Linked DNA regions of Arabidopsis thaliana. The protein of the gene in region 1 purifies or fractionates together with the protein of each later gene. This does not show direct contact. Each region holds a gene or a part of one and is shown in the gene's direction. Other genes may lie near its edges. The genes, in order: AT1G61150, AT3G55070 and AT4G09310.

Region 1 (3,756 bases):
ATCAAAATTCTCAAGCTACCACAAAAGCCGAGAAAACTACCTCAGCAGAATCAGGCTTCTCATCTAGAATCCGATAAAGCGTTTCGATGTCAATAGTCTCGTCATCATCTTCAAACTCAAAACCACCATCACAATCATCAACCGGAAATTCACCTCCCAGACCAAACATTGAACCTTCCTCACCCATCAAAAATCACAAAAAAAAAAAAAAAAAACTAACCCGAGAAAGAACGAGAAGAGGAACAAACCCTAAATCAGAAAACCCAAAAGTCACGGAATTTCAGCTCCCGGGAAACCCAAATCGAAATTCAGAAGTAGACGCGTAGATCCAGAGATTGTAGAATTTTCAGGTACGACGAAGAAGAAGGCTTGAGAATTGGGTTTTGAAGGAATTTTCGAGGAAAGGTAGAGAGCAGTTGGGATAGAGAAAATAAAAATCGCGACTTTTTGTAGCGACGGTGGCTTCTTTTTATTGCCTTGTTCTCTCTTTTGGCTTTCTCCGAATTGGAAAAAGTAAACACCACAAGGCTATGGGACTTCCGGCTTTAAATAAGGAACGGTCGAACATTTGTTTTTCTTTTTCTTTCATTTTTTTCCATTTTTTCATTATTTAATAATGCATGATTATATATAATTATATTTTATGCGCCGTCATCTTTATTGTTAAAGCAAAATCACAATTTAAACAAAAGGAAACAACTTTAATTAGTAGTAGGAAACTGAAGTGTTTAAGTAATGGAGATTTTTTTGAAGTGTTTGCTAATCATAATTTATTGTAAAAATTATTTTTAATTGTGTGAAAATTAGATTTTCTACACTAACAAAAAAATTTCATATGTTAAAGAAAACAAATATGAAACTAAATCACAAAGATCAATTGGAATTAGACATGTGGATCGACTCATTAGAAAAATAATCATCTCAATCAATAAGAAGAGATAAAACATATATTTGACTAAATGATCTTACCAATCTTGTGGTCATAAAATTCTACAAAGCACTATATTGCTAATTTCTACAAAGCACATTTGTAATCTTCTGAATCATTTGTTAGCCCTAAAAGAAGACTAGTATTATACGAGATCACCATTTTTATGATTGATCAAATATCTTGTAGAGCGCAAAACTTTGTAGGTAGTTTGATGAGAAAGAGCTTGCTTATTATGTGATCAACAATTCCGTTCTTGCCATGTCTCAAAGTAGTTGCTTGCCATATTAATTGATATGAAGAGCCTTTGATTTTGCAGAGATAGGAATTGCCAAAAGAAACCATATGAGGATTGACTCGAGAAGTTTTAGTGTAACTTCTTCACTAAGTCCTTCCAAACCAGTTGGGAAAAATAATATTAAAGAATAAGTGGTCCATTGATTCTTAGTCGGTCAACTAGCTAGAAGACCTCAAATTCTGCAATCGATCCTTTGTCTTATTGTGGTTCCACACAAACAACCATGTGCAAAGAACAAAACATGTTTTGGGACTTTAGTTTGAAGATGCAATTAAACATATTGTTAGATTGTTGACCAAGAAAAAACATATTGTTGAGATTGAAAGATATATTTTGCATCGGACTGCAAAATGTTTATGTCACATATTTGTTACCTAATAGTTGATTTTAATAGAGTATAATAGAGTATCAGTTATTGGTTTTAAATTGTGTATCAAATTCCAAATAATATAGAGATTTTTAACATCAGTCTTATTTAATTATGATTTTAACCAAGTGTCGTTAGCTCAATTGGTAAAGACCTTATGCAAAGCTTAGAGGTCGCCGGTTCGAGTGACGCTTGGGACGAAACTAATATTTTATGCTGTGGTTTCAGGCCTGGGGGATTACGGACTTTGACCCACAACCTCCAAGATTTAAAAAAAAAAATAAAAAAAAATTATGATTTTAAATCGAAATTTTGTTCTTCAAAGGTAAAATAGTTTAAAAATCTTTGGGTATTAAAATCATTTGGAAATGAGTTACATAATACTATCCGGTATATAAAGAACCAAATCCAAAAACAAACCGGTTCCCTTAATAATTTAAACCGGATTATTCATCGACGGTTCGTCAACATCCTAATAATTTAAACCCGATCTCTTCTTCTCTATCGAAAACCTCCAACTTTTTTTTGTTTTATCAGATTGTAAATTTAGGGAAGAGACTTTCGCAAGCAATCTAGAAGCAAATCGATCGCCAAATCTCCGGATTATTTGCAAGAATCGTTCCCAGATAATCTTCCCCAGATTCTCCACTTCTCCAGGTACATCGTTATATTCAATTTTTGAGGAAAATAGTCGCACACTCTCTCTTTCTTAGAACTACCACTCCTGTGCTGTTTTGAGATTAAAGCTTGAATTTTGACTAAAGCCCTAAATTACTTTGTATCACTATCTGATCACAAAGTCAATTTCTTTTGGAAATAGCTCTGATCGGAGTGTTGCTCGAACAGGTATTAATTTCGTATTGAGTGGATTAGATTAGATTTCAAGATATGAGAGCCTCACTGGCGTTCTAATGTCACTGTTTCGTATTTTTATCAATCAGCTTGAAGAAGACGACGAAGATATGGTAATTTTGACTCCTCTTATGAGTCTGTTCTTTGTGTTATTTGATACAACTTGATGATGGGTTTTTGGAAAACTTTAATCTTTATGCACGTTGTGTGACCTAGTTTTAATCGTGGCTTGTCGCAGGCTACTTCGAAGAAAATGATCACACGTGAAGAATGGGAGAAGAAACTAAATGCTGTGAAGCTTAGGAAAGAAGATATGAATACTTTGGTGATGAATTTTCTTGTGACTGAAGGATATGTTGAAGCTGCTGAGAAATTCCAAAGGGAGTCTGGAACCAAACGTATCCTTTTTCTGATTCTGGTTTTGAGTTTTTGTTTATGGAATTGGTGTGTTTGATGTTTAGCTTATCTACTCCTTTTGAACTTCCTTATCGAGAAACAGCAGAGATAGATCTTGCGACCATTACTGATCGAATGGCTGTTAAAAAGGCTGTTCAAAACGGAAATGTCGAGGATGCGATTGAAAAAGTTAATGATTTGAATCCTGAGGTACAATGCTTCTTCATATCTTGTGTGGAGAGTAGTCATTCACTTTTCTGATGTAATAAAGAAGCAAAATCTGATTCTTCTTTGAACCCATGCTTGCAGATACTAGACACGAATCCGGAGCTCTTTTTTCATCTTCAGCAGCAAAGGTTGATAGAATTAATTCGACAAGGGAAGACAGAAGAGGCCTTAGAGTTTGCTCAGGAGGAACTTGCACCACGTGGCGAAGAAAACGTAAGTCTTTGTATTTCACTTTGATTTCTGTCGTTAAAGATGGTGTTTTCCATGTGTATTGCTCATTGACTGTGTGTAATATCTGTTGTTGCTGAAACTTCATTCATACAGTCTGTTATATCTCTCTGCAGCAAGCGTTTCTGGAAGAATTGGAAAAAACTGTAGCCCTACTTGTTTTTGACGATGCCTCTACCTGCCCGGTTAAAGAGCTTCTTGATCTTTCCCACCGTCTTAAGACAGCAAGTGAAGTAAATGCAGCGATTCTTACAAGCCAGAGCCACGAAAAAGGTAGCTTTTGAATTTTGATGTTATACTGGTTGTCTTTTAGTAGCCACAAAATACCATTATAATCTCGAGCATCATTCATTATCAATCTTAAGATTCAAAGTATATGCAACTCTTCTCTACATAACAAGTAAAATTTTTCATTCATTACTTCACCCACAACATGTATCATCCAAGTTCTTCTTGAAA
Region 2 (3,756 bases), on another chromosome or scaffold:
AGCTTTTTCATTGTTTTCTCCAATCAAAAGGTGCTATAACAACTGCAGCTGCAATCAAAACATATAGAAGCAAATCAATAGATTGTAAGATATCTCCTGCACTAAACTAGGAAAAGTTCACATTTTGCAGCAAATTAGTTCATGTCAATCTCCAAAAAAAGTGCTCCAAGTGAATCTTACAAACAATTTGCTCGATGAAAGATAAACCAGTTCAACAAAAGAAATGAGAAAAAACAGCATAAATGATCTTAGACTCGAGATAATCAACTATAACTCTACTCAGAGATTCAGAAACTCAAGACTTATCATAGTAAACATCGAGCCAAGGCCTAAAATAAAAGACCAGACTACCCTAAGCATCTTCAAAGCTACGATAAACCCTAGAGACTAATCAAATCACAAATCGAACCTAAATCCTACTTGCGGAGAAGTTGATGAAGATTATGTTCGGCGAGATTACTCGAACACTAACAAAATCTAGAAAGGCTCTCTCTTTAAACGATCTCAATCGATTTCGTCGCCAGAAAATCCAACTCTACTCTCTCTACTCTCTTCTAATAGTTGGAAAATTGAAAGAAAAAGGAAAAAAAAACACTGAGAGGCGACAGCTTTTTATGACGACACAATTGGCTTTAAAGAAAACCAAAGAAACACAGAGAAAAATTTTAAAATTTCAAAAGGGAAGATCTTTAGAATTTATGAACATACCATAAAACAGCGATTTTGCAAATCGAAAATTCGAATGGAGAAGAAACTGAAACGCAGATTTAATAACAGCGCTAGATAACGTGGATTTGATCTAAAGGGAGAAGTGCAAGAAGTGTGAGAGTGTCTCGTTGACGACGAAGAATCCAAAAGAACAAAACGGCTCCAAAAATCTTTATTGGCGGTGTGATAATGTAAATAGAGTATCCAGTGAAGGGTATTTCTGGTAACCTTTTTAAATCTTTCATTGCGCGGCGGATAGAGCCATTTGGACTTTTGGAGGAGCGGGGCTACAATTATTTGTTTTTCACTAACAACACATAACAGTGATCAATAACAACATTGGAAAAACTTGTAAATTACAAATTAAATGTAGGGTATTTAGTTGTTTTAAGATAAGTATAATAAAATATATAGGTTTGAGTGATATGAGGTAATTATGATACAGTTTTGAAGTGATAACGATAAGAATTGTTGGTATGATACCGTTTTTGTTGTTGATAAGCTTTGAGACCGGGAAGGTGTATGTATACCACCATACCTAATACTATAAATTACCAACTACGCTCATAATCAATTATATAATTATAAATTTGGTATAAAAGTCGAGAAATCTAACAAAAATGATAAGGTTATTTCTCAATTTACTTTCATGCTTTATTTTTCTTCTTTATGTTTGGCAATAGCACCTAGTATTTAAACAATACATATAGTATTTCGACACATAGTTGCCCGTAATAAATTGAAATAATATAAAAGAGAAGTAATGCGTTATTTTAGATAGAAATCTGACATCATATATTTATAATTATATTTTCTATAAATAAAATATTATCTATATATAGTTTTTTTACACTTGGAATTATATATTGACCACACATCATGTGTTAAATTTTTTTTTTTTTTTTTTTTTTGCATTGATACTTTGGCCATATTTTAGTTTTACTCATAACATATTAGGTATAATCACGATCAGTCCTAATATTTTGAAAGCCCAAAAAAAAAAAGACTTTATTTTGAGATATTTTTTCACAAGGTAAATTTAATTTCAGTAAAAAAAGGGTTTTTAATAATTAAAAATATCTGTATATTAATATTTTGTATAGACTAGTTATATATTAATCAAAAATTGGGAATCCTAGACTATTTTTGTTTCATCAACTGGACCTGGTACTGGATCAAACGTTGCTGCAAACTAAAATGACAAAGCCCAAAAATCAAAACATACTCTCGGTTAGGGATTAGATCAGACCGGACGGTTTCCTACCTTTTCAAACGCTGTCGTTTTGAACTATAGAGTACCACAAACCAACGACGCCGTTTCACTTGGCACTATTTATTTCTTCTGTAGTTTTTTTTCTTCTCATACATATATCAATCAATCAAGATCACCACCACAAGGCAAAATCTAAACTCTCTCTGCAAAATTTCTGCTAACTTCTTCCTCCCATTTTCTTGCCATGGAAATCGATTCCGCCACCAACGGAAACTCTGACACCGTCATGACGGAATCCGCCGCTACGATCACTCCGTCGCCGGTCGTCGTCTCGTCTTCGAGATCGAATCAATTTACGGAATCTCTCAAGCTTGAGCACCAGCTCCTCCGCGTTCCTTTCGAGCATTACAAGAAGACGATCCGTACCAATCACCGTTCTTTCGAGAAAGAGGTCTCAACCATTGTTAACGGCGTCGGAGAATTGGCTGATTCCGATTGGTCTAAAGACGATACCGTTTCGCGTCTTACTTGCCTTGTTACTCGATTACAAGGCCTCAAACGAAAGGTTGATTTTTCCGTCTCTCTCCCTCTGTGATCGGTGTTTTAAATTATGTAGACGAAACTGAATCAATTAATTTAGCGATTAAAGTTTCTGATTTTGCTAAATGATATCCACTTATCTGTAAAAAATTTGATCTTCGATGTTGAAGATCAAAGTAAAGTATCTGTCTTTGGCAATTATGTCTCACTAGACATTGGATCTCGATGAATTCAATGTAGTGGTGGAGTTGGTTCATTGGAACTTCCCATCTGACTATTTGCATTGTCTTCTAAATTTTTATCATTTGGGATAGTTTCTATATCTTCTGGAGTAACATCACATGGATATGGCCTGGCTTACGTATTTTTTTGGTTTTGTATCTCAGTTGGAAGAAGGGAGCAATGTGGAGAATTTGCAAGCCCAGAGATGTCGTGCTCGCATCGATCATTTGGATTCAGTAGATGTGGAAAATATTACTGAATGGAATAATACCAAACTGAAACGGATTCTTGTAGACTACATGCTGCGGATGTCATATTTCGAGACTGCTACAAAGCTTTCGGAAAGCAGCAATATTATGGTTTCTCTCATCCTCTTGACACTCATTATATCACACTATTATGCTATATTGCTGTCTTGGTTAATATATCAGAACATATTCTTTGCTGTTTCGTTTTTACAAGCAGTGAAACAGATTTGTTGATTTGTACTGCATCTCTATGAAATGCTAATTATAAATATCTCATCTTTTCAGGACCTTGTCGACATTGACATATTTCGAGAAGCTAAGAAGGTGATTGATGCCCTTAAAAATAGGGAGGTAGCTTCTGCATTGACATGGTGTGCTGATAACAAAACGCGGTTGAAAAAGTCAAAGGTACGTGCTCTATGTACTCTCATGGTTAAGTTTTACTTTCATTTTTTATGAACTCCATGTGGTTTGGCTAAAGTATCCAATTTTTTACCAGAACTCTATGTATAATTGTTCATTGCTAATTATATATTTTCCTTTTCATAACAGAGCAAATTTGAGTTCCAACTAAGGCTGCAAGAATTCATCGAGTTGGTACGAGTTGATACAGCTGAGAGCTACAAAAAAGCAATCCAGTATGCTCGAAAGCATCTGGCATCATGGGGAACAACCCATATGAAAGAATTGCAGCATGTTCTGGCCACTTTGGCTTTTAAAAGTACCACAGAATGCTCAAAATATAAGGTGAAGTTTTCCTTCTTTTGATTATATAACTGTTGAAAATTGACGCTTCAACTTGTATCTTTTCCTAATGATTGATTT
Region 3 (3,756 bases), on another chromosome or scaffold:
CATATATAGTGATATATAACTGATCTGTCGCAAGAACATGATGACCATTTCTTCCTAGTGAGTATTTTGAGTGAGGGGGGAGTTTTTAGCCTTGCTCTTATGATTTAGGGATTTTCTTATTCATGACAATATTGGACCCCTAGGTAGTACTAATAACAAGAGAGGGTTTTTGTTTTCAAATGTTGGTTTACTGGTTAGGCTTTTATTCTCCACCATGGTATGGTTCCTATAAAGCTACATAAGAATTCATTTTGAAGTTTGTTTGGTGTGTGACCGAAGAACCAAAAAAAAAAAAACAGTTGCTCATTCTTTGTCTACTTATCTCACTATTCGGCAATGCATATACGTCCTAATCTTTGTTTTGCTTATCTTAGTTATTCTATCTCTCTCCCTTACCTAAAAAGCTGGCTTCAAAGGACTTGACGGATCGTTTATAAAACAGACTAGTCATAAACATAGATTTATATTCGAGATGGCTTCAAATACGAATCTTAAACTGTTTATAGTATATATAGTATCTAATAGCTGCGGGTGTTGTGAAAGGGAACTTAGTGTTGACCATGGTCATGGAGTTTAACCAAGAAGTTTGTTGAACCAAGGATTCACACAATAGATTTGTTTAGAGAGGGAAAACAAATCTAGTAATTTCTCTTCATTAGGTATTCTATCCAAGACTCGATTACAAGAGGGGTTCTAATCTCTTATGAAATACATTAGGGTTTTGCTCAAGAACAGAAAAAGAATTAAAGTTTTAAAAAGGTATAGCTGCATCCATGATGGATTGCCTACGTACCCTGTGAAGGGATCAAGCCATTCGTAGTTCTCAATAGGTATAAAGTTCTATGTTTCTTGTGAATATCCCAAGATCTCCCCCTTTTTGTGAAGTCCCTAAGGCACTTTATATAGGATCCTTAAACCGCCTCCCTAGCGATATTCTTCGGAAGATTCTTATTTATCCTTAGGTCGGTTCTAGAGGATAATCGTCCTAAGGATATTCTCCTTATTCTTCGGAGGTTTTGGGGAGATTTCCTGATTTCGACATTATCTTCAAAGATTCTCCTTTATCATTTCTGAAAGTCCCATAAAAGATCCCATTTTACCGGAAATGATCCTTGGAGAATGAATGGTTTTTACAAGTCTTTGCCTCGCGTGTTCTTCACGGCTCGGTGGTCGTTTGAGAGGTGGCTTCGGGGCAAACGGTATGTACCGGCTCGGGGCGCGCTTGATGACTGTCCATTAAGCTCAGTTGGCTGTCTCCCGAGCCGATATAGATGTGTCCCGCAGCGTTCTCACGATTGGCTCGGGCTGTGTTCATATGATTAACACCCGAGCCATTTTACAAACTCTCTTCGGGACGGTCGATCGAATAAGGTCCCGAGGTGCTTTGTTCTAGGCTAGGGGCCAATCATATGTTTAACCATGAGGTGATTGTTATTCTTAGACTGTTTGGCTCGGTCTTGCTTGTGGGGGAATCCGACCCCAACGAAGTTGTACCTTGACGGAAGAGAGCACGAATGGGATCGGTGCGGGTGTCTGGAAAGTGCCTGAAGAAGGTTCATGTGATGATCAAACTCTGGAATGCTACTGGGAGTACTGACTGTACCAAAACCTCCTCCAACAGTGCCACAGGGAACAAGCAAGCCCCATATCAATGTGTGATGAAGTTGAAGGAGCAGGGTCGTAAGGTGGACTTCCACAGTTAGAAGGAGGCTTGTGTGATGGAGGAGCTCCATATCCTTCGTCATAGTACTGATTTCCGGATCTGAATAAAGAAGCATGGCATCATTTGGAAGTAAGAGATCACATGAGAATACCATCCCTAGAACCGAGAGAGAAAAGTTTATGTTAATAAATTTTTATTGTATAATTGATATTGAAAAACATTAATAAACAGTGTTCACATAAGGTGTAAATTCACCCCAAAAGCACTCTAAAAAGTAAAAACCAAAAGAGAAAAAAACATAGAAATGGTTACTTAATAATATACCGAGTTTCATCTATTTACTTAATAATATACGGTTATTTGATTTACCGGTTAACTAAAAAATATCTGGTTTAATCGTATTTATTGTTGGCAAACACAACATTGGGCGCGAAGTGGTTTTTGATGCCCTTCAACAACATTTGGGGGTTTCATTTCAATCGCATTTCTAGGGTTTCTTTCTCTACGATTCAATAGATTCGGACGAATTGGGGGATTCTGACCAGAGAGAAGCTATGGAGGAAAACGAAGAGGAAGAAGAATTGCGGCCAACGGCGCTATACACGGTCGGTGGTTCAGACGAATTTACCTTTGTTTCTCCCGATGGGCTCTCCGGTCAATACACGGGCCCTGATCACGACGGCGTAGTTCTTCAGACTGAAAATCCGGCGCCGACTAACTGTCTTGCTTACTACTTCGAGGTTCATATCATGAATGCTGGTGAAAAAGGAGAGATCGCGATTGGTTTCTCCAAGGAACACATCTATAGCGAAGGGTATCGTTTTCTTTCCCTTTCAATTCGCATTTACCACTTATTGCGTGATTTGATACTCAATACAATCATTGATTCTGTTTGATTTGGTACCTGAGACTGAGAGAACAAATTGGGAAATAGGTTTAGATACAATGGTAGATCAGTAGTTCAAATCACTGTTTCAATGGTTTGGATTCGTTACTTGGAAATAGGTTATGTGATTTGCTGCTCAATTTGATTGTGTTGGCTGTTAGATCTGGTATCTTACAAGTTAATGGGAGATTTGCTTTGTTAGATGTTTTCACCTTTCAGTAATTAAGCATTCCAATTCACTGTTTCATGTTTCTCTGTAATGTTAGATATACTGTCAGAAGCTGTGCCTACATTGGTAACAGTGGACTCATATGCTCTCAAAATGGAGATGGTGATCGAACTGTTGCTAAAGCCAGTGACACCTATACAACAGGTGATTTAGTTGGTTGCGGTATAGACTCGGTTTCACAAGAATTCTTTTTCACGTAAGTAATAACTGTTTCCCTATCTGAACATGTTTCATTACAATTGGAAAAGTAGATATCAAGATACACAATTCATTTCTTCATGTCACAATGTTTTTGACATGTCCCTGCGTATGTTTTACTTGCTGACATCTATGACTACTTCTTTGATTATAGGAAAAATGGAACTATCGTAGGGACAATCCCCAGGCAATTTAGGCGTCCTGTATACCCGACAATTGTTTTGCATAGCCAAAACGAAGCTGTCACTGTCAATTTCGGCGGACAGATTGCGTTTTCTTTTGACTTTGAGGTAAGGTCGTACTTTTCTTTTCTTGCATAGTCGGAGAATAACTATTGAGTAAGCAGAATAATATGCATCTCTCACATATGTCCATATTTGCATGTATGTGGCATATTTTTCTGATACAATATTCTATTATCTGATCCACCTTTATTTCAGCATTTTGAAGAATCATTGAGGGTTAAAAAAGAAAGGGAAATTGAAAAGATTTCCATGTCTCGCAGCATTAGTCATGGGTAAAGTGTCTTTTCCTGCCTGTTCTTAATTGTAATTCTTGTTTCTGTTTGTGCTAAAGCTTCCTTTTTCCAGGCTTGTAAAAACCTACCTTCTTCGTTATGGATATGAAGATAGCTTTAGAGCTTTTAACCTGGCTGCAAGTCGTCATACTGTTATTGCACAAGAAAATAGTTTTGATGAGTATGAATTGCATCAAAGGAAAAAGCTCAGAGAGGTACTTTTCACTGCTATGGTTATCTTGCTGTAATTTTTTTTTTATTTT

The links.
Region 2: the proteins of AT1G61150 (region 1) and AT3G55070 fractionate together in Arabidopsis thaliana (co-fractionation; one large-scale study listed by BioGRID). This does not show direct contact.
Region 3: the proteins of AT1G61150 (region 1) and AT4G09310 fractionate together in Arabidopsis thaliana (co-fractionation; one large-scale study listed by BioGRID). This does not show direct contact.

Annotation. Positions count from the first base shown.
Region 1 is NC_003070.9:22,540,424-22,544,179, forward strand, and holds the start of AT1G61150 (LisH and RanBPM domains containing protein), read left to right. Parts: upstream 1-2,073; 5' UTR 2,074-2,250; exon of another isoform or gene 2,251-2,439; 5' UTR 2,440-2,504; coding exon 2,505-2,558; intron 2,559-2,683; coding exon 2,684-2,843; exon of another isoform or gene 2,844-2,880; coding exon of another isoform or gene 2,881-2,944; coding exon 2,945-3,051; intron 3,052-3,150; coding exon 3,151-3,282; intron 3,283-3,413; coding exon 3,414-3,570; intron 3,571-3,756. Other genes in the region: EDA16 (SNF2 domain-containing protein / helicase domain-containing protein / zinc finger protein-like protein), read right to left, coding at 41-187.
Region 2 is NC_003074.8:20,406,212-20,409,967, forward strand, and holds the start of AT3G55070 (LisH/CRA/RING-U-box domains-containing protein), read left to right. Parts: upstream 1-2,062; 5' UTR 2,063-2,165; coding exon 2,166-2,486; intron 2,487-2,847; coding exon 2,848-3,042; intron 3,043-3,216; coding exon 3,217-3,339; intron 3,340-3,483; coding exon 3,484-3,678; intron 3,679-3,756. Other genes in the region: AT3G55060 (CAP-gly domain linker), read right to left, coding at 1-11.
Region 3 is NC_003075.7:5,900,732-5,904,487, forward strand, and holds the start of AT4G09310 (SPla/RYanodine receptor (SPRY) domain-containing protein), read left to right. Parts: upstream 1-2,081; 5' UTR 2,082-2,217; coding exon 2,218-2,477; intron 2,478-2,815; coding exon 2,816-2,974; intron 2,975-3,130; coding exon 3,131-3,266; intron 3,267-3,416; coding exon 3,417-3,493; intron 3,494-3,566; coding exon 3,567-3,708; intron 3,709-3,756.